3 linked regions of the Notamacropus eugenii genome follow. The protein of the gene in region 1 interacts with the protein of each later gene in a biochemical or structural test. Links are inferred from orthologs where the notes say so. Each region holds a gene or a part of one and is shown on either strand. Other genes may lie near its edges.

Region 1 (10,036 bases):
CCTTCCTTTTTCTTTCCTGAGGGTTCATCAATGCAAGGAAACTCCTTCCACCAGTGTTAACTGGCAACTTGCCTGTAACTTTTCATTTTCAGAGAGCACTGAGAGGTTAAGCACTCATCAGGAGGCAGAATGGACAGAGTACTGAAACCAGAAAGACCCGGGTTCAAATCTTGCCTCGGACACTTCCTTAGCTATGGTTAAGCTCTCTCAGTCCTAATTTCCTTATCAATAAAATGAGGATAATGATCACACCTACCATACGGGGTTGTGAGGATCAGCTGAGGGTGACATACATAAATACTTTGCCAAACCTTTATGTGATGTATATGTCATCTCCAGGCTCACTGAGCTAGTATATATTACAGGTAGGATTGAAATCTTTCTGACTCCTGGGCTGCCCTCTCTACTCCATCACACTCGCTCTCCAGGCAGGTACTATAGCTATATCCCCGTTTTAAGATGAATAAATTAAGGTCCAGTGACTTGCTCATGGTCCCACAGTTAATACTGTACATATCTGGGAGTAGAATTTGAATTCTGGTCTCCCTTGACTCCAAATTTAGTGCTATTGCCATGATTCCATATGGCTTCTCCTGCGTGTATGTGTATGTGTATGTGAGTATATGGATGTTTATTATACATGCCTGTACAGGTAAGGAAGGCTGAGGAATATTTTGAAAGTGGCAAGAGTTTTAGAAGTCTCTCTCCAGGTTATATCCAAGTGAAACCCCAACATGATAATCTTCATTTTTATCTTTTTTCTCTCTCACTGAATCTGTGGATTTTTAAGCCAACTATTTCCCAATGCAGGGTGGATGCAAGCATCTGTAGATGGGTGTGTACACAGTGATCTTCACCTATGTACTTGGGTACCTACTATTGCCTAGATGGCATCTGCATAGGAGGCTTATAGGGAGGGAGAGGAACTAGCCCTGTGATTTCATTAGTTTAGGGAACTCCTTCTACCAATGCAAGTTGGCACCTTCTCTGAAATTTAGAGTCTGAGAGCTGAACACTAAGCAATATATTGACTTGCCCAGGGGCCCTCAGCCAGAATATGTCAGGCAAGAACAATACCTCAAGGTAGATCTTATTGGTTTCAAGGCTAGCTCTCTATCCCCTGGATCATCTTGCCCCTCATAGTAACAATATTGATAATACCTTAGATTTTTTTTTGATAGATATTTTTGTTTTCTAAAGCACTTTCATACATCCTTTAAACACAACTACCCAGGGACTCTGTGCTAGGTGCTCCTCAAAATATGGTCTCAATCTGGGGTCAGAGGGAGCTTCTGATTTGATTAAAATAGGCATTGATAGCCTCACTTTACAGATGAAGTTATTGGAGTCAAACGATGGGGTATATAACTAGTTAGCAAGATAAATGGGAAGCCTAAGCTTTTCTCATACAATCACTTCCATATGTGAATCATATATGATATTGACACATGAACAATATATGATATTGTTCGTGTGCTTACATGCACAGATCCTCATGAGCTTTGAGTGTGTGTGTATGTTATGGGTGCACTTGGGTAGGAATGATGCCTTAGGTATCTTCATTCATTTATAGTTTGCCCTATGCTCTGCAGTGGATTGAGGATTAGGAGACCTGACTTCTAATTCTGACTACCCCAGTGACACTTAAAGTGTTTGAGTCTTAGTTTCCTTGTTTTTAAACCTGGCATAATAATACTAGCCCTACATATGTGGTTTGATCCTCACAAGAACCCTGTGAGGTAGACAGGGAGACTCATAACCATTTTACAGGTAAGGAAACTAAGGCTCAGAAAACTTAAGTGACTTCTGAGCCTCAGTTTCCTTGCCTTTAAAATAAGATCCAACAATAATAATAAGGCCCAATAGTAGGTACCAGAGTTAGTACAAGAACCTGACAGTCATTTGATTCCCTGTCTACTACTCTTCCCATACCCCACCTTTCAGTGAGGGTTAAGGAAGGAAAGAAACAAACAAGAAAGTTTTGTATTAAGTACTTACTATGTGCAAGGCACCATGTTAAGTATTTTACAAATATTATCAATACTCAACAATCCTGAGAGGCAAGTGCCAGTACTATCTCCATTTTATATATATATGAGTAAACTGAGGAACACAGAGGTTAAGTGATTTGCCCATGGCCACAAAGCTTGTAAGTATCTGAGGCTGAATTTGAACTCCATCAACTGACCTACCATATGCTGGACCATGTGTTAAGGTCTTCCTGACTTGAAGCTTAGAGCTTTTTCCATCAGGCTGCCTAATTGCCTCTTGACCAAACCTTACAATCTATCAACCCTGTATACTCTAGCATCTGAGGATTGGGTTTTGGGTAACTTGTTTATTCCAAGGCCAGCTTGCTCCTGGGCCTCCCCTGAGTCTCAGTTGGATGGGAAGATAGCTTCTGAGGTCAGAGGGTAGTTCCCAGGGCACAGAGCAGAGAGGCATTCAGCACTTGAAAGAAGGGTATCTATGTAGGTTGTATCTTTTATCCACCCTTAGAGGTAGAGGAGGACAGTAAAAGATCCAGCTATGGACAGCAAAGAGAAAATCTCAAGAGTCTAGCTAAGACTATCCTAGCCCACAAAGGCACAACTTCACTAATGACTCTGGGTTCTGTCGTCTGGGATCAAGAAGAATAAATCTAAACTTTTCTCTAGGTGATAGCTCTTCCAATACTTGAAGATCATATGATCAAGTTTCCTCTTTGGCTGTGCCAGGCTAAAAATCCCCTGTTCCCCCAGCAGATCCTTATATAGCATTTCAATCTCTTTACTATCCTGGTCTTCCTCCTTTGGATGTACTCCTGCTTGTCAATGTCATTTCTAAAATGTGGGATCTATTTCAGTTATGGGTCATGGGACTATTATTTTCTTGCTGTTGGGTATTTTGCTTCTTTTAACGTAGTCTGCTACTTCCTACCTAGTGATTACTTATATTTATATATATAAGCCTTTTAAGATTTGTACTTTCCTTGTAACATCTCCCGTAGGTAGGAGATCCCCATCTTACAGATGAGAAAACCTAGGTCCAAAGAGGTGACTTATCCACAGTCACAATCAGTATTTATTAAGTGCCTACTCTGTTCCATACACTGGGCTAAGCACTGAGGATACAAAAGACTGTTTTTGCCCTCAAGAATCTTAAATCTAATGGGGGAGACAACTTACAAACAAATATATACAATGCAAGCTATATGCAGAATAAATTGGAAATGGTTAACAGAGAGAAGACGTTGAAATTAAGAGGGGTTGAAGGTTTCTAATAAAAGATCAGATTTCAATTGAGACTTAAAGGAAGCCAGAGAGGTCAGTAGTCACAGTGGAGGAGGGAGGGCATTCCAGGTATGGGGGACAGCCAAAGAAAATTTCCAGAGATGAAATGTCTAGTTCATGGAGCATCCAGAAAGCCAATGTCACTAGATCAAAGAGTACATATGGAGGAATAAAGTGAAAGAAGACTTGAAAGACAGGAGGGGGCCAGGTATGGTAAGTGATCAGAGGAAGAATTTAAAGCAGGTCACACTCTTTCCATCCCACCGGGCAACTTTTCAAGCCCAGGACAGAATTAGCTTTTTTGGCCACCATGTCATACTTTTTTGACACGTTTAGTTTGCAGTCCATTGAAATCCCCAGATCTTTTTCACAGGAACTGTTGTTGCCTAGCCATATTTTCTCAGCATTTTGTATTTGTCCACTTGATACCTTTGTCAGTTCAAAAGTCATTTATTAAGCACCTATGATGTGGCCAGACACTGTTGGTGTGAAGCTTCATCTAAGGGTAGGACTTTACTTGGACCCCTATTCATTTTCATCCTAGATGTGTTCCCTATTTCTGACATGACTAGCTCAGGATGCCAGTGCTGCTAACCAGCTGCTAACTAGCTATCCTCCCCAGTTTTTGTTCATTTGGTAATTTGACATGCATACTATCTGTGCTTTCACCTAACTTATCAAAGTGTTGAATGCTGCCTTAGTTTCTTCACATGAAATAAATGAAAGAGAGAGAGAGAGAGAGAGAGAGTCCTAAGAACATTCCTTGCGTGTCTAGGGCAGCCCCAGAGTCAATAAGGAACTTTTTTCCAGATTCTCTGGTCAATATAAGTCATCAAAACAAAAAGGAATATTCAGGCTAAGATCAATTACTGAGGGGTGGGGTGAGGTGGGGAAAGGACAATTAAAGGGTATACCTGGAATGTAAGCTCTTTGAGGGCAGGGGCTGGTTTTCATTTTGTCATTTTATCTACAGCCTAGCCTGGTGCACTTAATACATGCTTGTTAAGTTGAATTTAACAGGGCCAAGTACAGATCCCTGGGGTATTGTACTAGATACCTTCTTCCAGGCCCACTGCCATGGATCTAGTTTTTCATTTCAGATCAAACATTTAAGTGCTTAGTACATAAAAGGCACTCTTCCAGGTGCTAGATACCACGCCAGAGAATTCTGGAATTTCCAGCATTTCGTTCAAAGGCATTGCCTGTAATTGTTGTCATCATTGACATTCTGTCCATCTTTAAAAGACCAATTTAGCTACCTCCTTTTTCTTTGAATCCTTCTGTGTTCAGTACAGCCAAAAGCGAGCTCTCTCTCCCTTCTAACTCTCATACCACTGGCTTTATCTTTCTTATTGTCCTTATCTTAGTCAGCCTTATATTGCAACATCATCTCCCTGGCTGGATCATAAACTCCTTTCGGGCAGGAACCACAGCTTAAATTTGATTATTTACATTTTTATCTGAAGTTTGCAAAGGCTTTGCTTTCATAACCTCAGTCGTCAAAGAGGTCAATCCCCTGACCCCCTCCTCTTTGCGAAAGAGGCTAAGGGAATCATCACTGTGAGTTTTCTTTCCAAGCTCACTTTAAAAGGAAGCACCTTTCTGAAGGTCCAACATTTCATCTTCTGGTCTGTTTTTGATATCCCCATTTTACAAAAGAAGCGATTGATGCTCCAAGAGGTTTTGACTCACAGAGAGGAAATGAAAGAAGGCAGACGACAGGAAGCAAGACTCGAACCCAGATCTCAGGACATCAAGTTCAATGTTCTGCCTCTAACCTTAGCACAGTACTTTCTTCACTTGAGCTACTTGATGTCTCTTGAATAACTGTCCAGCAGTCTTTATTGTCCCTCTAGGAATTCACGATTTTTTGCACTCCTTTCCCTGCCAGAGACTAGCTTTTCCCTTACTTTTTTGGAGTCACTTTCTTTCATAAAAGCTGGCAGAGTCCGATGAAGTAAGGCAGCTATTATAGTGATTTGGGGGTAGAAAACATGGGTTTGAATTCTGGCTCTGATATTTACTACTAGTGTGATCTTGGTCAAGTCATTTACTCCTCTCCACTGGGCCCGGGTTTCCTCCTCTGTAAAATAAAGGGATTGGATGAGATGACTTCTAAGGTCCCTTCTAGCTCCAGTTCCTACGGTTCTCAGTATCTTCGTGTCCTTTATCGGATGCACTTACGACCCCGAGTCACAAAGCCGCAGAATATTAGGGCTGAAAGGAACCCCCTCTTTTATTCCCACCAGCCAGAGCTGTCCAGGGTCTCTACGCTCACGCAGCCATCCTGAATAGGAATCACACAACTGAATAAAAAGTGGCCTTTCGCCTTGAATTACTCGGAAGGTTCCCTTTCCCTTTGTGTAGACCTGGCCTCCAAGAGAAGCCTCTTTTGATTTTCTCCCGTTCTCTGTCCTCAGCTTCTCCCGGCCGCTTCACTCCAAGCCCAGTCTCTGATCCTTCCCTTTAAGGGTTCCCCCTCCCCTCCCCCACACCTTCCCTTCTCCCGTCCCACCCCCACCCCCCTACATCTTCCAAACCCCGCCCCCTCTGGCCCTCCCCTTTAAGGGCCGTCCCCGGCGAGGCTGAGGCTCTGACGCGGCCGCCGGGCCCCGGGGCTGGATACATTGTCGCGCCGAGCTTCCCCCGGGCCGGCCCCCAGCCGTCCCCGCGCGGCTTCCCGCAGCGCCAGGCCCCCCGGGGGGCAGGCGCGAGCCCGCGAGCCCGGACGGACCGACGGACCGACGGACCGACCGAAGCCGCCGCCGGGCCGAGGCTGGAGCCGGGGCTGAACTGCTCTGGGGAAGCCGGCTCTGCCGCCGCTGGGGAGCAAACTTCCCAGCCGGGCGGGGGCTGGCGGGGGCCCCGTCCAGGGCCGGAGGAGGAGACGGCCCCGAGTCCTCCTCCTCCCGTTCCTGCTCCCCGGTCTCCCGGCACCATGCTGTCTAACTCGCCGGGCCAGACCCCGCCCGTGCTGTTCCCCAACCCTCCGCCGCCACCCCCGCCCCAGCAGCCCCAGCCCCCCTCCCAGCCCCAGCCCCCCGTGCTGCCTCTGCCGCCGCCGCCCCCTCCTCCGCCGCCGCCCCCTCAGCCCCCCCAGCAGTTCCCCCAGTTCTATGTCAAGTCGAGCCTGCAGATCAAGAAGAATGCTATCACGGATGACTACAAGGTCACCAGCCAGGTCCTGGGGCTGGGCATCAACGGGAAAGTTTTGCAGATCTTCAACAAGAAGACCGGGGAGAAATTCGCCCTCAAAGTAAGTTTGGGGCCCGGCAGGAGGAGAAGGGGACTCCAGGGGGCGACTGCCACCTTACCCGGGGAAACCAGGAACTGCTTAAAAAGATCTACCTGACCCTCCCTTGTCCCCCCAGCTCCTTCCTGGGAACCCCGAGCGTAAGGAGGGGGAGGAGGAGAGAGGGTGCTGCTGTCTGAGTTATTGCTGGTTGTTTTTGTGGAGTGTGTGACTTTGGGGGAGGGGAAGGTCAGAGCAGATTTTTGGTGTCCCTGGGATCGCGGGACAGTTTCCGGTCACCTTAGGGAGTTAGCGTAGTGAACTCCAAAGAGAGTAGGGAGGACTATACCATTTTGGGGTTTGAGCGGGCATCATTTGAATCTGCATTGGGCAGATCCTGGATCGCTTCTGCTTTAACACCCGTAGTCGGTGTCAAGGAAGTGATTTTGAAGGGTTGTGGTTCCCCATCTCTCCTCTCTCTGCCTCTCCCTATCTCTTTCCTTCCCTTCCTCTTCCTCCCCCCTCCCCTCCCCTTGCCTCCCTCTCTCGCTCTCTCTCTCTCTGCCGGCACAAAAGGCCCATTACTCATTGAGCTGGTTGGTTGGTTGGTTTGGAGAAGTCGGATCGTAGAGGTTTATTTTGCCTCTTTCCTTATTTGGGAGCCGGAATGTGTGATTTCACTTCCCTTGCTCTCTAGAGTAAAAGTCTTCTGTCTTCTACTTAAAATGCATTGGCCCAAAGTAGTGCCAGACCGGAGATTCCGGAGGGGGAACCCCGCCTTAGACCCATGGGTGGGGGAGGGTGATTTGTTTTGGCCAGTATGCCTCTTCCTTTTCTCAATGTCCACCCCCAACCCCCATATCACTCCAAAGAGGGAGGCTTCGATACTGTATCTGCTATTTTCGTAGTTCCATTGATCCAAATTATTATGTACGCTTTGACTTGGCCTTTTGAAGTTTTCAGTAAATCCTTGATGAGATGTGTGGGCTGGAAAAGAAGCTTCTCCTCCTGAAACCCTAAAGATGAGAGATTAGATGTGTCCCTTCACTAGGTACTGCTTCAGCTTTAGGGAAGAGGGTAGAGGGGCAGAAATGGGGGGGGGGGGGGCACAAGAAGGCAACCCTGTGAGGCAAGGAGTTTGACCTTGGAGATCCCACATTGGGAACTGGGACAAAGCAGACTAGTCTGAGCCAGGGGCAGGTCAAGGGGAATCATCACAGAGTTTTCTTCCCTTAGTGGTTTTAAAAGGAAGCACCTCTCTGAAGGTAAAACACTTCATCTTCTGGTCTGTTTTCGATAGGTATCTTGGAGATTGGAGGAGAGGGGAAAGTCCTTGTTTGCATGAGGGGACAGATGTGCAGTCCTGGGAAAGAGTCAACAGATTTGAGTTTGGAATCCTGGCTTTGTCACTTCCTTAATTAGCGAGGTTGGGTCTCAGTTTCCTCAGATGTAAAATAAAGATAGTATCTACAGTACCTCTCTCATTGGATTGTTGTAACAAAGGAGATAATGGATGTAAAACACTTTGTAAACTGTGAAGTGTTTGATGTAAGTTGTTAGTGTTAATTTCCTTCCTTCCCAAAGTATTTTTTAAAAGGTGTATGAATTCTTGTTTGAATAGCCTTTATTCCTTCTCTGAGGGATGGTGAATAAAAACAGATATATTGACTGTAGATGTGATGTACTGGCTCCAAAGCATGAGTGTTTTTTTTCTTAAACTGAACAGATAACTTTCAAATTTTCATTTGTAGTTGCATGTTTCTCTGACTCTAAAGGGATGAAACATAAGCTTGCAATGACCTGTTCTTTTTCAAACTGTCTTTTAAACCCCTTTTCTTTCTCAGTCCGTTATATTGGGGAGGAGAAACTAGAGTTATGACCTTGTGGAAGAATTCAAAGTTTGACCAGAGTTAACTCACAGTGTTAAGCCTGGCACAAATTCTTCTTTACAGGAGAGCTTGGTCATCAGTTGTTCAGGGATATGAGTTACTTGCGCTTTTTCCCAAGGAGTAAAAATACCGTATGGAGGTATCAGAACAGTCGCCTTATCATAAAAATAAAAGGCCTGGAGAGTTTATATAATTCACCAAAAACCTTTGAAACATTTCTTTATTTTTGCTTTGAAGGAGGAGAGTGGTTAGAGAGATGATTGAAATTTCTCTTCTAATTATCAGGAAAGTGATTTTGCCTTTTAAACATTTTTTCCCTTGTGGTCTTAAAGGGAGAATCTCCTAATGTTTTAAATGATACTTTTAGCACAATAGGTTTTTATGAGCACAATTTATCCTTCTCTGCAGGTTAAAAGTAGGTGAGAAGAATGAAGTCACTCTGTTTTGACAGACAGCCTGCTTCTAGATCTCATGAGTTGACTCAACTGTTAAATTGCACATTTCCCACACTTCATTGTGTAAAAGCTTAATAACAGAGGAAGAAAGCCTGGGTGAGGCATCAGGAGAGTATCAGCAATGTCAACAGCTACAGCATATCCAAATATTGGTTAAGACATAATTACAGGGGGAGGAGGGGAATGGGGGAATCTTGTTCGAAGAATCGTGCTGGAAATACACATGAAAGATCTTGACTTTTGATTACTCTCTTGTGCCGATTAGGGAAATCATATGTTAAAATAGTAGTCTTGTGTGTGAAGTTGAGGAGCTTGGAGACCAAAGTAATTGTCCTAGCTTGACTGGTAAATTGGGAGAAAGCCTGGGATGAGAGGAAGGGTCAGACTGGAGGCTTCCCAAACATTGCTTGGCTTATTGAAGTATATGTTTTGTGGGTAGAAATGGGTGATATAGATGGACCCCTTTGTGGCTATGCTTGGTGAAGGGAAGTTGAAGTTGTTATGATGCTCTGAGCCTTGTCTGAGGTCTAATGACCTCTCATTCCTGTTAAGTGATGGCTTTAAAAAAATGACCAGCTTTGCTCCTTCCTTTCTAACTAACCTTTAAATGTGTTTTGGTGGGTATTGTGGTCTTACCTTGTCATATCCTCCTTGCTCTTGCTAAGTATTTTTTTCCCCTTCTCATAAATCTAGAGAAAGGGCCTTGAAATCTGGAAGGTCTCTGTTTGAATTCTATCTTTGGTACTTCTCAGCTGTGTGACCCTGGGCAAGTCACTTCTGTTTTCTTCATCTGTTAAAAAAGGGTTTGGACTAAGATGACTTCTGAGGTCCTTTCTGGTTTTAAATCCTTGATTTGTTATGGCTATGTACTTTGGAAGTCTTGACTTTAGTCCTTAAATATATCCTTTACACCTCACCCCGTCCCCAAAGCAAATCTTTCAAACTTAAATACTGTTTTTCAGGGTTTATAGTTGCTTTTCATGGAACTCCCTTGTGAACCATGTAGGGAAAGTATTATATTTTGATGACAAGAAAACTGAGGTTTAAAGACCAGTCACCTAGACAGTAAGCATTTGAAATGAGATTAGGACTTTTTCCCATACAGAAACTCCCACTCCTCCCCCCAGCTGTCATTGACTTTACCCTCCTTGGCCCCTTGGTCATTGCTGTGATGCTAAAGGGTGTTTT
Region 2 (10,296 bases), on another chromosome or scaffold:
CAAGGCTGACCTTCTGGCTTGGGAGAAAGGCGCAGTCCCGCCTCGTGGAGGCCAGGGGGCGCCAGAGGACGGCCATCTGTTGGAGGGCCCCGCCCATCTGATATCTGTATCTGCGCCTGCGCCTCCTGGGGTGGGGGAAGGTGGGGGGAGGACGCCCGAGTCTGAAAGCCTTGTCAGTTACACCCAACTTTTCCTCCCTTCCCCACCCCCTCCCGTCTCTCTTCCCGGAACCGTCTCTTACTGCCTGGATCTCTCTGCTTGGGACTGACTCCTGTTTAGATCTCTCTTTTCCTGGGACTGTCTCTGTCTCTTCCTGAGACTATCAGTCTGGTCTTTCTGTCTGAAGTCTCTGGAATTCTGGCTGGATCTCTCTGCCTAGGACTGTCTCTGGCTGGACCTCGGTTTCCCTGTCCCGGGATCTTTGTTTCTGAGTCCTTGTCCTCTGCCTGCGACTGTCTCTGACTGGGTCTCCGAGTTTGACTTTCTCTGCTCCGACTTCTGTCACTGCCGCGAACTGTCTCTGGCAGGATCTTTCGTTCTCTCCCCCTAGCCAGTTCTGTCTCTGGATGTAGCTAAGGCTCTTGCTGCCTTTGCCAGGGGGGTATCTCGAGCCCTGGATCTCTGTTCTCCCTCTGACTGGATCACTCCTCTCCCCGCCCCTTCTATCTCCTTTCACCAGGAAAATTGGGACAAGGATAAGTAAGGAGGAGCTCTAGGGTGAAAGCCTGGGTCCCTGAGAGGGGAAGGAAGGGGAGGGGGAGGGGAAGGGCTCTTGGGTCCTAGCCAGACCAGCTTTGCTGACACAGCTCCTGACTCACCCCAGGCTCCCAAGAGGAGGGAGGAAATCCCCCAGTTATATAATCACAGCTACCGCACCCCCAGTGCATATACCTGATCTTGGGCTAACCCTGGACACTCTGATTTTCCAGAGTAGGAGCCAAAGGCTGGATGCTTGAATAGGGAATGGAGGAGGGCCTGAGGGGATCCCTGAGGCAGAAGAGGATCACAGTTGGGGAAAGGAGGGTACTTCTGCTGGGGTTTCTAAGAAGGACCTCTATAAGAGGTCCTGAAACCCAGCTTCCTTGTGATCTTGGGCAGACTTGCACTTTCCTCCTCAGTCTTCAGTTTTCTCTTGTCTAATGAGAGGGTCTTGGCCTAAATGACGTCTTACATTCCTTTTAGGTCCCATGATTCCAGGACCCTGAAAAGGGAAGGGCGTCCCAGACTGGGGTGAGGGGGTGGGGAGGAGGCTTCAGTGAGAACATGCAAGGAAAAGGGAGCTGTGACGCCAGTCTCAAGTCAATCACCCTAACTTCCCTCCCTGCCTGCTGCTGGGGAAGGACCAGGAAGTGGGGACCGGGACCCAGGGAGGGTAGGCAGGGATTATGGATTTAGCCTTCCTCATCTTTACATTTCTCTTCATGCTGACCCTTCAGGCTGTCTGAGACACCTGAGAGTGGGGGGAGAGTTTCGGGCCCCTCATCTTCCTCCTCCCCTTGGGCTTGCCTGCCTGCGTCATCAGCTGATTGTGCAAGGGGGGGGTGGGGCCTGGACACCAGGGTCCAGAGTATTTTTAGCCCCAAAGGAGAAGTGAGAAGGGCGGAGCAGGTTCCTGCAACTGTGCTCTTGGTGGGTAGGGAGGGGAGGTGGCCTGACCTAGCCTCTCCGGGAACATCTGGGATCCAGCTGTGGTCAGCCCCTAGGGGAGGGTCCATGCCCTTCTGCCAGGCCTGGGAAATTCCTCTGGCCCCTTAGCCAGGGGTGGGGAAGACACCCAGACTAGGACACTTTGTCCTTTCCCCCTGCCTGTGGGGGGGAACACATTCAGTCATGAGGCAGAGATGTCACTGGGCACCATCAGAAGCCCTCAAAGGCAGGCAGACCCAAAGGGTCTTGGGCTGACACACAAACCATCCCCTCCTCCTCCCAGTACAATCCCGTGGGGGCACACACACATAATCTCATCTGAAAGCTACAGTGAGACACAATCTGTCACCTTGCCCTGTGTGTTCCTGAGTTGTCTGACACGCTTAGAAGGCTGCGATCCGATCATCAGTCACTCTCTTTTCTCTCTCCCTTCTCTCTCTCTCTGTTTCCATCTCTGTGTCTGTGTCTGTCTGTCTCTTTCTCAATCTCTCATTCTCTCAGGCCTTGGCGGTTTCCGGTCCTGGCCTCCCTCTCCCATGTTGTTCTGGAAACTCTGCCCACCTTCTGGGCCGGAAGCTTGATGATATTTTTAGATCTGCCAATTTCCGCCCCCTTCCCCTCCCCCTTCCCCATCCCAGAGGCCGTGGCCCCCAGTCCCACCCTTTCCCCAATCTCGTTCCAGAGGGGATTCCCAACAATGGTGACTGCCAGACTTCCCAAAATCGGGATTTTCCCTCTCACAGCTCCAAACACCTAACTTCCTGGCCTAGGAAGCAGAGGCTACCTGGGGTTTTAAGTATTCACAGGCCAGAGGAAGCCAATGTGGCTGAGGAGACTATGAGCCAACTCAAGTCAACAACAAACATCTACTATGTGCCTAGCACTGTGCCAAGTGAAGAGACAAAAAGCTTTTAATCGTAGATTCCACAAAGAAGGTGAGGATGCTCCCAATTCAAACATTAAGTGCTTACTGTATACACATTTCTATGCTGAAAACATCAGGACTGTCTTGAGGTAGAATGTGAGAGGAGGGGCCCCTCATAAGAAAGGGAAGGAATTTCAGGAGATATTGGGAAGGTGAGTAGATCTGATCTGGCCCCAAAGGCTAGGGGGTAGGAGGTTGTAAGGTCATCTGAGGGGTTAGAGGTCAGAGATCTGGTACTCTTAGCTGTCAGAGGTTGGGAAGGAGGGGAAAGGACTCCTGGAACCCAGAGATTTGGGAAACTTTGGAGCCAGGAACTAGTTATAGGCTATGGAATTTAAGGGGGTCAGAGGGTTGTGATGACCTAAATTTGGAAGGAGAGTGAAAACCTGAATCCTTGAGGGGAGATGGAGTTGGGGGAGTTAGAGGTCTGGGACCCTGGAGGAGTATATTTCTGCAAGACTCAAAAGGAGGGATGCTAGAAGAAATTTTTTCAAATGTCCATTTTATGTAAGGCTTGATGCTAAGCACTAGAAATATACTGATTTAAACTGATTGTAAAAAGGTAGAGAGGCCTGAGACCTAAGGGCGTAGATGCCAGGCTGGTGACCTGGTACTCCAAGGAGTCGGGCTAGATGGCTAAACAGCTAGGCCTCTGAGATCATAGATTTAGAGCAGGAAGGCATCTTAGAAATTAAGAGAGACACCCCCCTTTCCCTTTATAGAAAAAGAAGTAGGTCTAGTGAGGCTCCTGGACTTGCTTGGGTTCACCCAGCTAACAAGTGTGTGAGGGACAATTTCAATCTAGGTCTTCCTAACTACATGCTCAGTTACTTAGCCTGTATACCAAGTTCCCAAAATCTTTGAAATTATTATTGAATTTTTTTGTTTGGGGGGGGGGGGCTGGAGGATCCCTGGTTCCCTGAGGACACTAGTGAGGGAGTGAAAACTGTGGTCTTTGATTGAGACCAATTCAGTGGGGTTCATAGACTCTCCCTCTCCACTCTACCTCTAAAGCTGGGCCTAGACCCAGGAGCCTTGGTTCTGAGGCATGGTGAGGTAACACTCTGGTTTAGGGGGTGGAGCATGGGGAGCTCAGAGAGTCGTCAGGGAATGAGTCAGGAAGCTGGAATGTACCCACAAGCTCAGATCCCAAGAGAAAGACAAACCAATTCCCCTTAGGATGAGTGAAAAGTGGGGAAGGGTCTTGGGGAAGGACTTTCTTTCTGGGAACCTCTGAAGTGGGGAGAAGAGAGCATTCCATCTTCCCTATCAGGTGGCAGTGACCTTGTCTCTGGGTCCCAGTTTCACTTGTTTTGAGCTGAAATCAAGGCCCAGATCTGAAGAGCATGCTGAAAACTGAGGTTCCTCAGCTCTCTGTTTACAAGGAGAGAGGAACCCCAGCATCGGATCAGCTCCCCCCCCCCTCCCCTTACGTCACCTGATTCCAGGAAGGGCCCCCACACATACACACCCTGCGGTGGGTGAGTCACTGGGGAGCGTGAGAGCCAGCCACTATGCGCAGGTGAAAATTGGAGACCACAGGCTCACGGGACCCAAGGGAGACTTGGGGAGGTCCCAGCTCCTGGGAAGGTCCCTCCTGACCATCCCTCCCCTCCCCAGAGAAGCTTCCCACAAGTTCTAATCCTCACAGAAGTCTTCATTCTGGAAAATGAGCACTTGAAGGAGAAGCCTTCACTTGGGAAAATGAAGATTTCTGTTATTTTAAATGTGTTCGAGTCAGAGAAAAGCCCCAACACAGGCCTAGAATCAGACAGTTCTCCAACTAAGAGGCCATCTCCCCCAAAATCTGACTTTAGTGACTCGAGAAAATTTCTAAGAATGGTAGACATTGTCTCAAGAAACCTGACTTTGCCCAGTTCCCTTAGGAATTTGAGACAAATCCCTGCCCCTCTCTGTGCCTCAATTTCCACTTCTGGAAAATCTACCACTCATGATCTCCCAGCTTTCTCTTCTGGTTGTATTCTCTGGGGTTAGAGAATTTGTAAACTGGCGGCTTCTCCCCTTCTGAGTCTCTCTGTCCCTTGACATCTGGCTTTCAGGTCTTTAGTGCTTGACTGTATCTACTCTTGTGTCTGTCATTTCTGCCTCTGGCTCTGGCTCTGGGACCTTAATGGTGTTTCCAGTTCCTGACCTTCAGCTTCCCACATAGGTAAAAGGAGGGGCTTGGATCTGGGAAAGATCTTTTCAGGTCCTTTCTGGGTCTGTTTCCCCGTCTGAAAAATGAGGGGGGATTAGACTGGAAGACGATTGAGTTTCCTTCTAGGTCTTAAATCCTAGGAGTTGTGATCCAGTGACTGGGGGACCTCTAAGGGCCAGCTTTTCGCCCAGAGTAAGGTGCTGGGCCTCCCCCGCCCCGCCCGGGGGCACTCAGTCCGGGAATCGCTCCTCCCCCGAATCCTCCCTAGTCCCCGCCCTTTCCCGGTCCCCCCGCCTCCTCTGTCTCTAGCTTCTGGAGCTCCCCATGGGTGGGTCCTGGGCGGCACCAAGAGGCCCCTCCCCCAAAAGCAGTCCTTCAAGAGTAGCGCGCTGGCCACCCTCCCCACAGTCCTGGTTACGCGCAGAGCCAGAGCATCCGCAGGGATGGACGGAAGCGCCGTTGCAGGCGGGAAGCCCAAGTCCGCCGGCTTGGAACTATGCGCTCTCTACGAGGTGAGCTGCCCCCTCCCTCTCGCCCTACCCCTGCCTGCCCCCTCACCTCTCTGGAACCAGCGGACCCAGGTGTCGGCCGCCTCTGCCTGAGGTCTGGTTGGGAGGGCCGTGGCGCTGACGGCCAACGTTTCCCCTTTCGCTCAGCACTTCTGGGCACTGGGGTGCCACGGGGCTTTCTTGAGTGCAGATAGCTTGGCAGACTCGGAAATTGGAGTTCCCTCTGGGATCCGAGAAGGGTCCCTCTAGGATAGGGAACCCAAGTCTTGGAAGGGAGGTGAGGCTGCTTCCTCAGGGCATATGTGTGTGTGTGCGCCGGGGGTGTCTTGGGAGTAGTAACTGGGGTTCTTTAAGTTGGGGGGTTACTGGGGGAAACTTAATGATTCTAGTTTCTGAGCTGCCTTAGGGTGGAGTCAGTAGGGGCAAAGAGACCGGGAGACTGACGCCTGGGTCCTGGCCCTCACCCCCCCCCTTTTTAGGGTGGGGCTGAGTTTGGGGGAGTTCTCTAGAGCCTAGACCAACGCTTTAGTTCCCGGGCACTATCCAGGGGTCAGAAGTGCAGTTGGGTGGGGTTGCTCTGCTCTGCACGGCTCAGCGACCTTAGGTCCGACCGTCGATCCCACCCTGATCCTTCTCCCTCCTAACAGAAACTCCTGTCCCTGAGCCCGGAGCTGGCTTCGGCGGCTCGCGGAGAACTGGACCCCGACCTAGGCTGGGGCTCTCGAAGCCCCTGGAGTCCAAGCCTCGCAGATCTGGAGCCACCTTCACCCCCGCGGGCCCCGGCCTCTCTGGGTCCCCGGCTCCCAGGCCGTTCTACTAGCTTGGTGGAGGGCCGCGCCTGGGTGCCCCCGCCGCCGGGCTTTGAGCCCCTGCCGCCCAGAGCCGTGCCAGCCGTCAGCACCGCGCCCTCGGAAGTTGGTTCCACGTCCCCGGTCGGGGCAGCCTCCTCGTCCAGATACAAGACGGAACTTTGCCGGACCTTCTCGGAGAGTGGCAAATGCCGCTACGGCTCCAAGTGCCAGTTCGCCCACGGGCCTGGAGAGCTGCGGCCAGCCAGCCGCCACCCCAAATACAAGACGGAGCTGTGCCGCAAATTCTTAGCCATGGGCGCTTGCCCCTATGGAAACCGTTGCCATTTCATCCACTCTCCACACGAAATTCTGTCTGTGGTGTCGGGTCACCCGCCCCTCCTCCGCCAGAGTGTCAGCTTCTCTGGGATCCCCTCTTCTCGACGCCGGGGCTCTCCCACCCTGAGCCCTCCAGGTCTGCCGGACCTGCCTTCCCCCTCGGGCTTCTTCTCCCCTCCTTCCTCTCCGCCCCCACTGCCCACCGCCCCCGGGGAGGTCCCTTTCTCACCCTCTGCCTTCTCTGCTGCCCCTGGTCCAGTGCCCCGGGAAGCCACGGTGGGAGAAACCTGCTGTCCCTCCTGCCGCCAGACCACGGGAACATGGGGACCCACAAGGGATGCCCTGAGCCTGGGGCTGGGGCTGGGGCTGGCCCGAAGCCCTTCTGCTCACTCCCTGGGCTCTGAGCCAGATGACCAGGCCAGCAGTGGGGGAAGCAGCCTGGGGGGGTCTGACTCCCCAGTGTTTGAGGTAGCAGTGGGGGGCGCTTTTGCCCCCTCTAACTCACACCTCCTGGCCCTGACTCCTCCCCGGCGGCTCCCCATCTTTAACCGGCTCTCTGTGTCTGACTGAACACCCCTGTTACTCCAAACTTAACTGAGTAGGAGATCAGGAAGTTCCTCTCCCCCATTGCCAGCTGTGCCCAGATGTGGAGGTGCCTCATCTGCTTAGCCCCCAGAGCATTCACCCATTGCCTAGTCTCCCGGGGCAGGTCCCTATGGCGAGCAAAAACTCTCAAAGAGGTGTTCTGGGGGTGGGTTTTTAATGTAGCATACTGAATCGACATATGTGTGTATACATACATACATATGTACATATATGTGTATATATACCTACATATATGTATGTGTGTATATATTACAGTGTGTCCCCAAAGTCTTAATTCAGTTGTAAGCATTACTAGGTTAAAACTGTACTGTCTTTGAGACACCCTGTTAAGAGGGGGGTCAGAATAAGAGATACCCCCCCTTTCTTCATGCTGTGAAAAGGCTTCCCCAAGTCTCCCCTGGATGGGGATCTCCCCAGCCCTGGTGCTCAAATCCTACCTAACCAGACCAAATCCAAGTCTCCCTGCCTCACCTGGGGCCCCTTATTTATGGTGACGACATTATTTATTCCTACGGGTTTTATAGTATTTATATATGCAGTCGTTTCCTCTCCCTTTTGTCTAATATTGGGAGGTTGCTGCCACTATAATATATATTTGAAAGGTTATTATATATGTGTGTATATATATATAGCTAAACAAAAAAGAAATCTCTCTATTTTTGTTTTTTGGTGGAGTTTGTTTTTTAATTAAAACTAATACAGTTCACAAAAGAGTAATCTTATGTGTGAAAGGCTGTCTTCTTGTCCGTCTCCTGAGGTTCAGGGGTGGGGAGGGCTGTCCTGAGACCTAGGGGGCCGGTCTAGCTGGTTCCTAACTCCTCTGGCCCCAGGCTAGGGCGGTTCCAGATGAACTCACCTAGGAAAGGAGGGCACCCCCTCACCTGAAGAGGTGGCCCAGGTGAGGTCACCAGGAAGGACTGGGGGTGGGGAAAGGGATTGACTACAATCTTAATAACAAGCTCAGAAAAGGTTGTCCGGGCTCGGCCTCCCTGCTCTGCTGGCTGGGTCCTGAGTCCCTCTCCACAACGCCCATTTCTTCTATCTTCCTCCGGGCTGATACCTGCCCTCCATACTTGCTGTTCCCATCCCTCAGCCTTGTCTGTATCTCTTTGTCAGTCTCTTGCTACAAGTTTCAAGGGGTTTCCACCTTCACCCCTCTTTCGTCTCTCATCCCAGCCTTATCTCTAGGGCTGGCGTGTCTGTCTTGGAGGGTCTCTCTGACTTGCCCTCCCTCCTGAGACTCTCAGAAGCGTCTCCTCGGGTGTCCGAGGGATCCCAAGAGGCTTCTCGGGGCCTTTGGGGAGTCCGTGCCTCTGTCCCTGCCCTCCCGGTGATTCAGGAACCTCGTGGTCACATGAAATACTGGTAAAGCGATGAACGAGCACAGCGCCCAGCACAGAGGCGCTTCATAAAGTCCCCTTTCCTGTAACTCTGGTCCTTCCCGGTCAGTCTGCGCCTCCGTCTACTTCCTGGTGTCGAAGCGGGGGTTCCTCCCTTCCCCGTCAGCCAGTAGACTCTGGTGGAGCGCCTGCGGCGTACGGGTCCTGCGCCAATAAAGGCTGGGCACAAAGGCAGACGGCACCTGCCCTCCGGGAGCTCCCAGTCTAACCCACCGACGGCGGGGGAGGGGGTGAAAGGGTGCGGGGTCTCTGCCCGTCCTCTTCGCTCTCCGAGGCCGTGGGTGGGGACGGGAAGTTTCCGTCTAGCTGGGGAAGGAGCATGGGGCGGGAGGGGGGATGGGGACGGAATGTGCCCCTGCCCAGGCTGGGCGGGAGGCTACGTGTCAGTGACGCAGGGGTGCGTGTGTTTGTGTGCGCTTGTGCCCCGGAAGCCCCGCCCCGACTCTGGGGAGGGGAGGGAAGAGAGGGGCCTCCGATGCCCGTATAAGGCCTGAAGGCCTCCCCGGGGGCGGGGCCTTGCGTCAAGGCCGCGGACCCCGCCCCTTCATCCGAGAGGCTCCATCGGGACCCTTCCCTGGGCCTCCTGTGACCTTCGGCCTCTTCTTCTGGGAAACCGGAGGGGGCGGGGGAGCGAGTCCCAGAAACGCTGGGGTCTAGAAAGAGCCCCGAGATCTGATACGAGGGGACCGAGTGACCCTCAGGGAGTCCATCACAAAGACCGTGGCTGCCCCCTCGCGGCCGCCGTGCGGAACGGCACCTCGTCCAGCCCGCAGGATCCCGGGAGCGCAGGAGCCCGAGGCTGCGAATTCACGCCTAGCCAGGACTCATAATTCTCTATTAAATTTCAAATATAAAGTGGGGGAAAAAGTCTGTGCTCCAGGTGAGGATCGAACTCACAACCTCGGCATCGCTACGGCCGCACTGCTGTATAAGTACCGCGCGCTAACCGATTGCGCCACTGGAGCTTCGGCGAAAGTCCCGCGGAGCGGGCCCCTTCAGGCTTATCCACGTGACCCTTCCTCTCCCGGTTCTCTTCCTTCTTCGTTCGTCTACTCGTTTCTTGCGCCTGCGTGACGTCACACGTGACGTCCCTTAGATTCCTCCCCAGAAACTTCTCCGCCGCTCTCTAGTGTTCAGCGGGCGCATGCGCACACCCAACCCCCGCCCACATCCCCATTGCCCACATTACAGCTCGCCCCTGCCCCCTGCCGGCCAATGAGAAAAACGCCCTTCTACACCCTGTCGCCACTGGCTGAAACAAACCTAGGACGGGGGTCGGGAGCAAGGAGTAGTGCTGGGATGTCCAGGTTTAGGGGACGGAATTGGGTGTTCGGGTGCCCTTCGTCCTGCGAGTTGACAAGTAAATGGGAGGTTAGGGTTGCCTGGAGGCAGGTTGCCCCTAGACCTGACTTAAACAGGGGCGCTTGGGATCCTTCTCCCTCCTTATCTGTGCGGTTGTCCCACATCCCCGAGAGTTGGGCACCCGCCACGTGGCGGCCCCGGGCACGATTTGGGATTTCGGACCTCTGAATCTGAAGGGAAAAAAACCACCGCAGAATTCTAGACTCTGATGCTCCGCCCCCGATCCTCTCCCCCCTCCTAATTACTTTGTATTATTTTTGAATAAGTGAGATGTTCTGGCAGTGATCTCGGCTCGGTCCCTTCACTAGAATGCAAACCCCTTCCGGGTGGAGACTGGAGCTGTTTGTGTCCCCTAACCCCTGGGTACTTAGCGATCGATTACCCACCCCAGGCTGAATGAATGGAATTAACGAGGGAGGGTTTTGTGTAAATTTCAGAGGTGAAAACGGAAACTTCTCTTTCCGCCCCGCGGCGGCTATCTGGAGACCTTGGCGGGTGCTCGGAATTGTTCCTGCCTTATCTCCGAAATTACTTTGTCCTTTCTTATCTAGTGACTTTTACT
Region 3 (9,725 bases), on another chromosome or scaffold:
ACTTAATTTGCCTCAGTTTCCTCATCTGTAAAATAACCTGGAGAAGCAAATGGCAAACCATTCCTGTATCTTTGCCAAGAAAACACTTAAAGGGGTCACAAAGAGTTAGACACAACTGAACAACAACAAACCATAAAGCATTTTGTTTTGCTAATTAAGCTTTGCAAAATACTTTACAAATATTATCTCATTTTATCCTCACAACCACCCTTAGAGGTAGGTGCTATTTTCCCTATTTTATAGTTGAGGAAACTGAGACAGACAGGTTAAGTAACTTTCCTTAAGTATCTGCCATGGCTAGGAGGTAGCACAGTGGATAGAGGGCCAGAGGTAGAGTCAAGAAGACCTGAATTCAAATACAGTCTCAGACAGTAGTGGTGTGACCCTGGGCAAGTAACTTAACCTCTATCTGCTTCAGTTTCTTTATCTGTAAAATGGGATCATGGCACCTACCTTCCAGGATTGTTGTGAGGAACAAGTGAGATATCTGTAAAGCACTTTGCAAACCTTAAAGAGCTATATAAACACTCTTGGTGGTGGTAGTAGTGGTAGTAGCAGTAGTAGTAGTACTAGTATCTATAAGGTTCTATCTGCAAAGGCATCCTGCCCCCAAGGTGGTATTTGAACTGAATTTTCAAGGAAGCCAGGGATTCTAGGAGACACAGCTGAATGAGAGAAAAGCATTGCAGGCTCTGGTAGTGGACAATCAGTGCAAAGGCACCACGAAGGGAGATGGATAGATTATTAGGTCTGAGGAGCAGTAGGCAGACCAGTATGACTAGACTAGACTGTAGAGGGAATGGAGGAAAGTAGCACCTAAAAAGACAAGAAAAGCAGGAAAGGGCCAGCTTATGAAAAGCTTTCAATTCCAAAGGATTTTATACAGGGTATTCCAAAAGCCTTAGTGCAGTTTTAAGCTATCCAGGCTTAAAATGCAGGCATACCCTTCTATTTGATCCTAAAGGGATAGTAAGCCACTGGGGTATTGAGCAGAGAGAAGTGATTTAATCAGCTGTGCTGGAGAAAAAATCTCTTTATCAGCTGTGTGAAAGATAAGATTGGAGACAGATGATCGAAGAGGAAGGCCAACTTGCAGGCTAATACAGTAATCCAGGTGGGAAATGAGACTTTCTACTGGGGTGATAACTGTGGGAATAAAGAGGAGATACTGTGAAAAAAGAGAGAACAAGATTTGGCAATTGATTCACTGTAAAGTGAGGAAGGGAGGAGTTGACAATGACATAGTATATATAATAATATGTGATATTAGTATATATCATATTAGTATCATATATACTGCAGAGAAATATGAGACAACGTCCCCTGCTAAGGGCAGGGGATATGGAGAGGCAGTACAGAGCAAGTCTAATCTGTCTTCAGCATGAACAATCCTTCAGCTATTTGAAGGGAGTTATGTGCTCTGTCTTCTTTTTTCCAGGCTAGCTTCAGTCCATGCAACAGCACTTGCCTTCCAGGGTTGTTGTGAAGATAAAATTAGATATATGCAAATTCTAAAGTGCTCTGTAAATCTTAGTTAACATTCTTCTTCTTAATATAGTTAGTATTACTATATTTGAGCCATTGACACTGTGGAGACATTTTCTGATCCTGACACCCAGGACAGGAGTTATCCTTCTTTGGGTCAACTACAAATCTTATTTGCATAAAATCTTATGCCCTTTATTTATCCAGGGCATTAATAAAAAATATTCCTGGAATATTCCAGGAGTCAGGAAGACCTGAATTCAAACCTTGCCTCAGACATTTGCTAGCTGTGAGATCCTAAATAACTTAACTTTTCCTAGCCTCAGTTTCATCAATCTGTAAAATGAGGATAATAAGAGTATCCACCTCCTTAGAACTCTGTGAACTTTAACACATACACACACACACATGTAAGCACATATTGTGAGGACACATGTGGTCGTGTACATATGTACACAACATGCGTGTACACATATATGTGCCTTTGGTGTGCACATTCATGTGTGTACTGTATATATGTGTGCATATGTGTCATGTACATACATACTAGCCGTAAAACAGCCCAGGGCCAAGGACAGATCTCCAGGAGGCCCCATTAGAAAACTCCTTCCAATCTGATAAGAAACTGAACTTATTAGGGACTACTCTTTGGGTCAGGTTACAGCCAGCTGTGAACTTTGAACTTTCATTTACATTTCTCCACATTATCCATAAAGATAACAATGGCTTTGCTGGAGTCTGTGGTAAAACTAGCAACAGCACAGCCCTGTTCTACCAGTCCAGTAACTCTGTCAGAAAAAGGAAATGAAGTTAGTCTACCCTTCCTGGGTAGAATGAAGAGCCTTCATTCTCAAGTGACCTCTTTCACATTCATTCAAAAAAATTATTGGAGGGGGAAGTGTTTTTTGGAAGAACGGTGAGTACGGGGGAAAGGCTATGGAAGTGCCATCCTCTTCATCCTCCTACCCCCTGGTATGAGGTATTCCTCCTCCTGCAGCAATTCTAAAAGCTAAATAGATCGCCCTCACCAGCAATGGGGGGAGGGTAAAGAGGGGGTGGGGTAGGCAGAGTGGAGCAGGGAAGGTCAATTACCAAGAGACTTGAAATATGCCAGATAAAGTGTGGTTTACATAACCAGACTTTATTTACCAGCTCTATCATTCCCAGACACTTCTGCTGGGATGGATGTAAAAATAGTTATGTTGTTGGCTTAGACGTACAAACAAGTTGTGTTATTTTGAATAAAAAAAGAGACTTCTTTCCTCCCTTCGGGGTAGGGGCATGAGGAGGAGTGGTTGTAGAAACTTCCCAGATGCCTGGGTGTTCTGAGGCTCCTTCTGCGTGCTAGGAACATGATTCACCCCAGCCAGCATAGGCTGACCACTTGCACAATGCTCTGAGTCCTGTTTCCCAAGGGGTCCTTTCTTCCTGCTGTATCACAAAGCAGATGAATCGAAAAAGTATTTCCCCCTCCCCCACCTCAAAAGAACTGGCAGCTAACTTGGCCCAGAGGTGACCGGAAGGGGAAAAGACAGTGAGCCCAGACTGCATGACAAGAGGATTTGATGGAAGACGTTGGCAGTTCTCAGATTTCCTCATCTGGTATCTGCCATCTTAGAGAAGGCAGATGGAACCTTAAAGAGTATCGATGAATCCTCATTTTACAGGTGAGGAACCAGAATCTCAGGAAATAGAAATTACTTATCCAGGGTCACATAGTGTGTGAGGAGCAAAGCTAGATTAGGAACAGAACCTATTTTTTATGATGCCTGGTGATCAGTCTGTTTATTTACAACCAGACCACCAAGTCATTTCACTTCTGGGGGCCTCAATTTCTCAACCATAAAATAAGGGAATTAGATGAGCTTTAAGGTTTCTTCTAGCTCTAAATCTATGATCCTAAGACAGGCGAGTCCCATAAGTGTATCCTACTTCTTTCATGCAGCTAGGTGGAACAGTGGATAAAGAGCTAAGCCTGGAGTGAGGAAGATCTGAATTCAAATCTGATCTCAGACACCTACCTCCTAGCTGTGTGACCTTGGGCCAGTCACTTCACCCTGTTTGCCTCAGTTTCCTCATCTGTAAAGTGAGCTGAAGAAGGAAATGGCAAACTGCTCCAGTGTCTTTGACAAGAAAACCCCAAATGGGGTCACAAAAGAGTTGGACAAAACCGAACAACAACTTCTGTCACACAGCTATTATAGAGGCTGAAATTCTCTATTTCTAAGAACCAGATAACTTACCATGTAGCCTTCATTTCCTCCCACAATGTCTATTCTCTCGTCCACCATATGGAAAATAAATGGCAGCAGCGCTGCCCACACCACCAGGGGAGCAGCATTGTTTGGCCCAGACACATGGTTCCACTAAAACCAGCAGAAGTAAAGCTGGGAATTGGGAGTCCTAGGTTCTATTTTTCACTTCACCATGGGAGCACTACTCTGGGCAAATCACTCCCAGCTCCATGCCTCATTTTCCCCAACCACCCATTGTGAGGTATAACAAACAATTACACCATGCCAAGTCTCAGATGGGTGATCATTTCCCCCCCTCACCCCCCACCCCTGATAAAACATGCTCATGAGAGTAGTGAACACCAGTCTATGATCCGTACCTCATTCATCCTCACCCCATCTCTTGAAAGAAAGTCAAGACCGCAAGGGACCGTTGACGGGAAGCCAGTCTACACAGAGGGGAAGCCTCCTAACCCACACTCACACAGAAAGTCAGTGGCTGAGCAGAGAACCCAAGAATCCTCAGTGACAGCCTGGCTTTAATGTATGCCAGAGCTAGAACTCCCTGTGTTTGATTGTTCTAGAACCTTGGTCTGTATTCCATGCTAGTGTCCAAAAGAATCGGCATTATTGGGCCTTTGGAGATAGAAGAGTAGTAAGTCAAGAAGAGTAGTAAGTCAAGCAGTTCTGAAAGTAGGGAAAGAAGATGGGGAAATGTTCATTAAAGTCTTTAATTGCTATGTCAAGATTGCCCTCTGGTGGTAATAGTCAAGGTTCTAATTTTGTTGTCCAGCTGCTTCCCATCCTTCCTCCATTATCCCAGGTATTTCTGGGCATATTAAAGCAAGGAACCTGGATGGTTAGAAACTTACTCACTGGTGTCCACAAGATCACACAGAAAATGTTTTCTCCATTCCCTTTCTCCCCCAGATTTCTAGCATTACCAGTCATTTGGCCACACGAACAACTGGGGGAGAGGGCTTGAGAGTTTGGAGTTAGAATGACCCTTCAGACAAACACAAGCTATTTCCAGATCTCAGGATCTAATTCTGGTGTTCAGAATCTCTCTCCTACACATTGTCAGGTTTGAGGATACCATACAAATTTCAGCTGCCAAAGATGGGGACAGAGTGCCTGAAAGTCAGCTAATCGGTATTTACTCTGAGTCCAGTTTCCTTCTATCACAGAATCTTCTTGATCTGGGCAACGGCAGCATGCCCACCCTTTTTCTTATAGACCCTTCATATTAAACTCAGAGATTTTTCTTCTTCATCAACAAATTCATTCCAGCTCCTAGATTCATCTCCTGCATAGATCACACAGCCCTGTCCTTTATTGCTGCTATCTCTTAGGGAACAAGATTGCCAGAATTCTGTTCACTGTTGTCTCCAAGATCACAGAAGAAATTTCTCTCAACCCCTTTCAGTTTTTGGTTCAAATCTCAGACCATAAGAAGGGATGCAAGTCCAGGGAAATCTAAATTCAGCCGGGAGAAAGGGAATTCTCTCTTCTGATCTATTAAAGCTCCTAATGATTTCCTCTCCACACATTAACTTGGTTGTTGTTATGGTACAAGTGTTGCAATTACCTTTCTATCTTCTCTTTTAATGGTATTTTCCTCTGTGGTCATTGGGGAACATAGGACTCTGAGCTTCAGCTCCCTCTTCTTGGCAGTCCTCACTCCTTCAATCCATATTTCTGACAGTTACCAGGGTAACCATTTCCCATTACCTATGAGATTTCCCATCTCCCCATTCTGCTTTTCCTGGCCAGCTGTCTTGGTCAAGTGCTGATAACTACTTCATCAACAGAGTTTATTCAGGCCAAACTGAGAAGTCATCAAAATTTGACCCCACTCCAAACATCTCCAAATCATAGAATGTGAGAGCTCAGTGAGGGTGGTTGAAAACAATCCCATATCCTTCTGGTCCTCCCTTAGGCATTTTCATCCCACCAGCAGCAGCCAGTGTCTTCATGCCCTGACTATCCCAAAAATCTGGTCACTGGATTCAGATGGCTCTGGAGGAGAAGTGAGGCTGGTGACCTGCACAGCCCTCACTCACTCAAAACAAAGTCAAGTGCAAGTCATGTCATTATTTCTCTGATGGCATGGTCTTCTTCGGCAATGAAGGACGAACACCCACATCCCAAAATGCTCCCCATTGCAGCATCTCACCGAGACCTTTCCTCTTCCTTTCCCTGATCTCTTCCAAACTTGTCTGGCTTATATCCCACACCTTTAGAACCCTGCTTCCCTTTCATTGATCCCCTAGCTAAACTGGGATACTGATTTCTGTTAATGAGTTTTTATGTGAGGGGTTGAGGATAGGAAAGGAGGGATTATATAATCAAGATCCCACCAGTAGGAGTCAGGGTGTGATGTGAAGGATTTTACCAGGCTCCTTGCTTTCCAAAGATCCCCTCTATTAGTGTGCCATAGTCCCTGAAATTCTCACCATTGCAGTTAATTCTATTGGATTATGGTATTTTCTCCAGAAGGCCTCGTTTAAACAGATATTCTATTTAAGTAATATGCTAACACAAATGTTTGATACTACTCACAATTTTAGGTTTGAGCCAGTGGCTCAGGTAGAATTCTAGAGCCCCAAACATCTCAAAAAGGTGAACCTCCTTTATGTTGACCAGTAAATACCTCTTTAGCCCCCTACAGCCCTGTATGTAGCTACTGAGAATTCCACTATATTAGGTAGTATTTCTGTTGTTAAGTTATTTTAGCAGTTTTCCTATTAAATATAATTAGGGATTTAGCAGAAGTAAATGTTGTATGGAAGTAGAATATTTAAATATATCATTTTATCTACCACTCTGATAACTAATGATCTTCTCCATTGTAAGATGACCCACATCAGGAAGAAAGTCTAAATATTTTGAAAGAATTCTCATAAACACACACACACACACACACAAGTGCTCACATACACACATGCACACACACATAAAAACACTATCAATCTATAGTGATGTCTGATGACATCAAATAGGATAATGTAGAGGGAAAAATAAACTATTTTCCTCACACTTCAAACAGTATCCAAAGTCCTGAAAAAAGACAGGTGTTGTTACCAAAAAAAGTAATTAGATAGGTAAACTAGACTATCAGGCAGTGATTTTAAAAAAATCTGAATTTCAACTTGCTTCTTAATCTCCTAATATGATAAATCTAGGCTGAACTTCCTCTTTATCTCTTCCCCCCAGAGCTCCCCTCAAAATAGAAAGTCTTAGAAATTCTTGGGAAGTTATAAGTTACTTACTTATAGCACTTACTTAACAAACCTCATACCCCCTCCCCCAATCGTTATTTAACTGTCCTTGGCAGCATCTTTAGCTTCAGCTAAGCTTCTATTTCCTCCCAGTTTTATCCTGCTTTCTAACTCTTGATAGATTTTTTTTTTGGTAAAACCTGTCAACATGAGATCTGAAGCTTTTTTCTTTTACCTGAATGTTGCAGATGGCTTTATTTGTTTTTTTAGTATACTATGAAATTTGAGTAAAATCAATGCCTTCAGCCTGATCTAGAAGATATTTGTTATCTGAGGTGCCCTGTACAATGAAAGTACTAATGACTCAGGAAGGCAGGGTCTTTGCTCCTTGTGATGCTGATCCTTCTTCACTTGGATCCCCTGGGAGATGAGTGGCAGACATTCACAGATGACTAAACAAGTTCAAGAATGAAATATATGGCCATGTAAGAGACCTTTTCTGGGCAACTTTGGGGGACTGAAACCTGACTTTCCCCCTCACAGAACCTTTTTATCCAAAATTCAAGTCATTGGATGGTGTTCCTTGAAAGCGAACTGTTTTTTGCCTTACTTTGTATCTCCAGGGCTTAGCGTAGCATCTACCACACAATAGAAGCTCAATAAATGTTTGTTGGCTTGACTGAATATGACAAAATCTAACATGGTACAATGGAGAAAGTCCACACGTTGATCTCCCAGACCTGATTTTGGTCACTTCATCAGGTGTTTATTAGCTGTGTAATCCTAGGCAGTTCACAGCCTCATTATGCCTCAGTTTCTTTATCATAGCAATGGAGACAGTGTTAAATCTGGAGGCTGGAAACCTGATTCTGAATCCTAGCTGTGCCATTTACTACCTGTATGACCACCTCTAGTCCTCGATTCCTTTGGATAGAAAATGAGGCAGTAGGGAGGCACTGGAGTTGGGCAGGGGATGACAAGGTGAGACTTTTCAATTTCGAAAGATGGCTTTGGAAGCTGAGTGGACAATAGGGAGAGATTTGAGGCAAGGAGACCAACCAAAGGCTATTGCAATTGTCCGAATGTGATCCGTGCCCACAGTAGGGTGGCAGTTAACTGAGTGAAGAGAAGGGGACATTTATAAGAAATGTGAGTGTAAAAATGGCAACACTTGCTAACAGATTGAATACGTGGGATGAGCGTATGTGAGGAGTCGAAGATGACACCAAGATTTTGAGTCTGAGGGATGGAGGTGCTCTCAACAGCAATGGGAAAGTTGCGGGGGGGGGGGGGGGGGGGAAGAAATAATAAGTTCTATTTTGGACGTGCTGAGTTTGACATACCTCTGGACCATCCAGTTCCAAATGTCCAAAAGGCGGCTGGTGATGTTGGTCAGGAGAGAGGTCAGGAATCTGAGAATTTTTTGTATAGAGACGACAATTGAACCCATAGGGGTTGATAAGACCACCAAATGTGATAGTATGAAAAAAAAAAAGGTCCAAAATACACTTGGAGGAGATCCACATTTAGGTGGAGGAAAATCCAACAGAGACTGAAAAGTAAAACAGGTAAAAACCTGTTTAGCTTTTAAAATTCTTTAACATATCCCTTCCTATTTTTCCAGTCTTCTTATACTTTGCTCCCTTCCATGTGCGCCCACACACACACCACCACCACCACCTAACTCTCTGCCTTCTCATTGGTTGTCCCTTGTACCTAAAATGTTCTTCTCCTGCCTCTTAACCTCCAAGCTTCTCTGTCTTATCTCCAAAATTCAGCTCAAAGCCCACCTTCTGCAACCCCTTCAAGATTACCTCCAATTTATACTGTATAATGTTATGTAGTTCTTTGCATGTGGCTTCCTCCATTTGAACATGACCTTCTTGAGGTCAAGGCAGGGACCTGTGTTTTGCATTTCTGTATCCTCAGTGCTTAGCACAGCGTCTTGGAATGCGGTGAATGCTTGCCAAATGCTGTTTGGGCAGCTAGGTGGCACAGTGGCTAGAGTAATGGACCTGGAATGAGGAGGACTTCAGTTCAAATCCAGCTTCAGACATGTACTAGCTGTGACACCCTGGGCAAATCACTTAACCCCGTTTGACTCAGTTTCCTTGTCTGTGAAATGAGCTGGAAAAGGAAATAGCAAACCATTCCAGTATCTTTGCCAAGAAAACAAAAGGGTGTTTTTCAGGGATGTCCAAATTTTTGTGACCCTACATGAGGTCACGAAGAGTCAGACAGGACTGAAAAACATTATGAACAATAAATTCCCTTCAAACTCTAAATTTATGACACTGTGATCTATAAAATGAGAAGACTGCCTACCTCACAGAGTTGTGAGGATCAAATGTCATGACGTAAAGCGCCATATAAATGTCAGCTGTTAACTGTAAATCCTCCTTCTCTAACTGACCCTGTTATAAAGCAGAGTCCAGGATGTAATCAGAAAATCTGATCTTTGGAATTATCATGCTAATCCTTCAGAAGCCAGAAATATGGGCAGCTGCCACCACGTGAATTTTAGTTCTGCCTTAATATGCCATCATGTTGTGAACAGCTAAGCTTCCTACAGGTGTGATTAACAGAGTATAGATTAACATAGGATTCCACAGGTGTTTTGTTTTTTTTTTAATGCCAGGCTCTTTCATCCTTCTGAATTTAAAATATATATATATATATATACACAACTAGGTTTTTAAACAGAATCTGAGAGTTGGAAGGGACCTGAGCAGCCATCTAGTCCAACCAATAAATACCCAAAAGGAATCCCACTATAACAGTCCTG

The links.
Region 2: of the proteins of MAPKAPK2 (region 1) and ZFP36, one has a biochemical effect on the other in vitro, tested with the Homo sapiens proteins (2 studies listed by BioGRID). The link is inferred for Notamacropus eugenii from reciprocal best matches to the Homo sapiens genes MAPKAPK2 and ZFP36.
Region 3: of the proteins of MAPKAPK2 (region 1) and ZFP36L1, one has a biochemical effect on the other in vitro, tested with the Homo sapiens proteins (2 studies listed by BioGRID). The link is inferred for Notamacropus eugenii from reciprocal best matches to the Homo sapiens genes MAPKAPK2 and ZFP36L1.

Annotation. Positions count from the first base shown.
Region 1 is NC_092873.1:432,632,018-432,642,053, reverse strand, and holds the start of MAPKAPK2 (MAP kinase-activated protein kinase 2), read left to right. Parts: upstream 1-5,863; 5' UTR 5,864-6,210; coding exon 6,211-6,528; intron 6,529-10,036. UniProt on the Homo sapiens protein: Stress-activated serine/threonine-protein kinase involved in cytokine production, endocytosis, reorganization of the cytoskeleton, cell migration, cell cycle control, chromatin remodeling, DNA damage response and transcriptional regulation.
Region 2 is NC_092876.1:32,194,078-32,204,373, forward strand, and holds ZFP36 (mRNA decay activator protein ZFP36), read left to right. Parts: upstream 1-5,057; 5' UTR 5,058-5,173; coding exon 5,174-5,242; intron 5,243-5,886; coding exon 5,887-6,936; 3' UTR 6,937-7,689; downstream 7,690-10,296. UniProt on the Homo sapiens protein: Zinc-finger RNA-binding protein that destabilizes several cytoplasmic AU-rich element (ARE)-containing mRNA transcripts by promoting their poly(A) tail removal or deadenylation, and hence provide a mechanism for attenuating protein synthesis.
Region 3 is NC_092872.1:310,772,599-310,782,323, reverse strand, and holds the start of ZFP36L1 (mRNA decay activator protein ZFP36L1), read right to left. Parts: upstream 4,062-9,725; 5' UTR 3,777-4,061; coding exon 3,729-3,776; intron 1-3,728. UniProt on the Homo sapiens protein: Zinc-finger RNA-binding protein that destabilizes several cytoplasmic AU-rich element (ARE)-containing mRNA transcripts by promoting their poly(A) tail removal or deadenylation, and hence provide a mechanism for attenuating protein synthesis.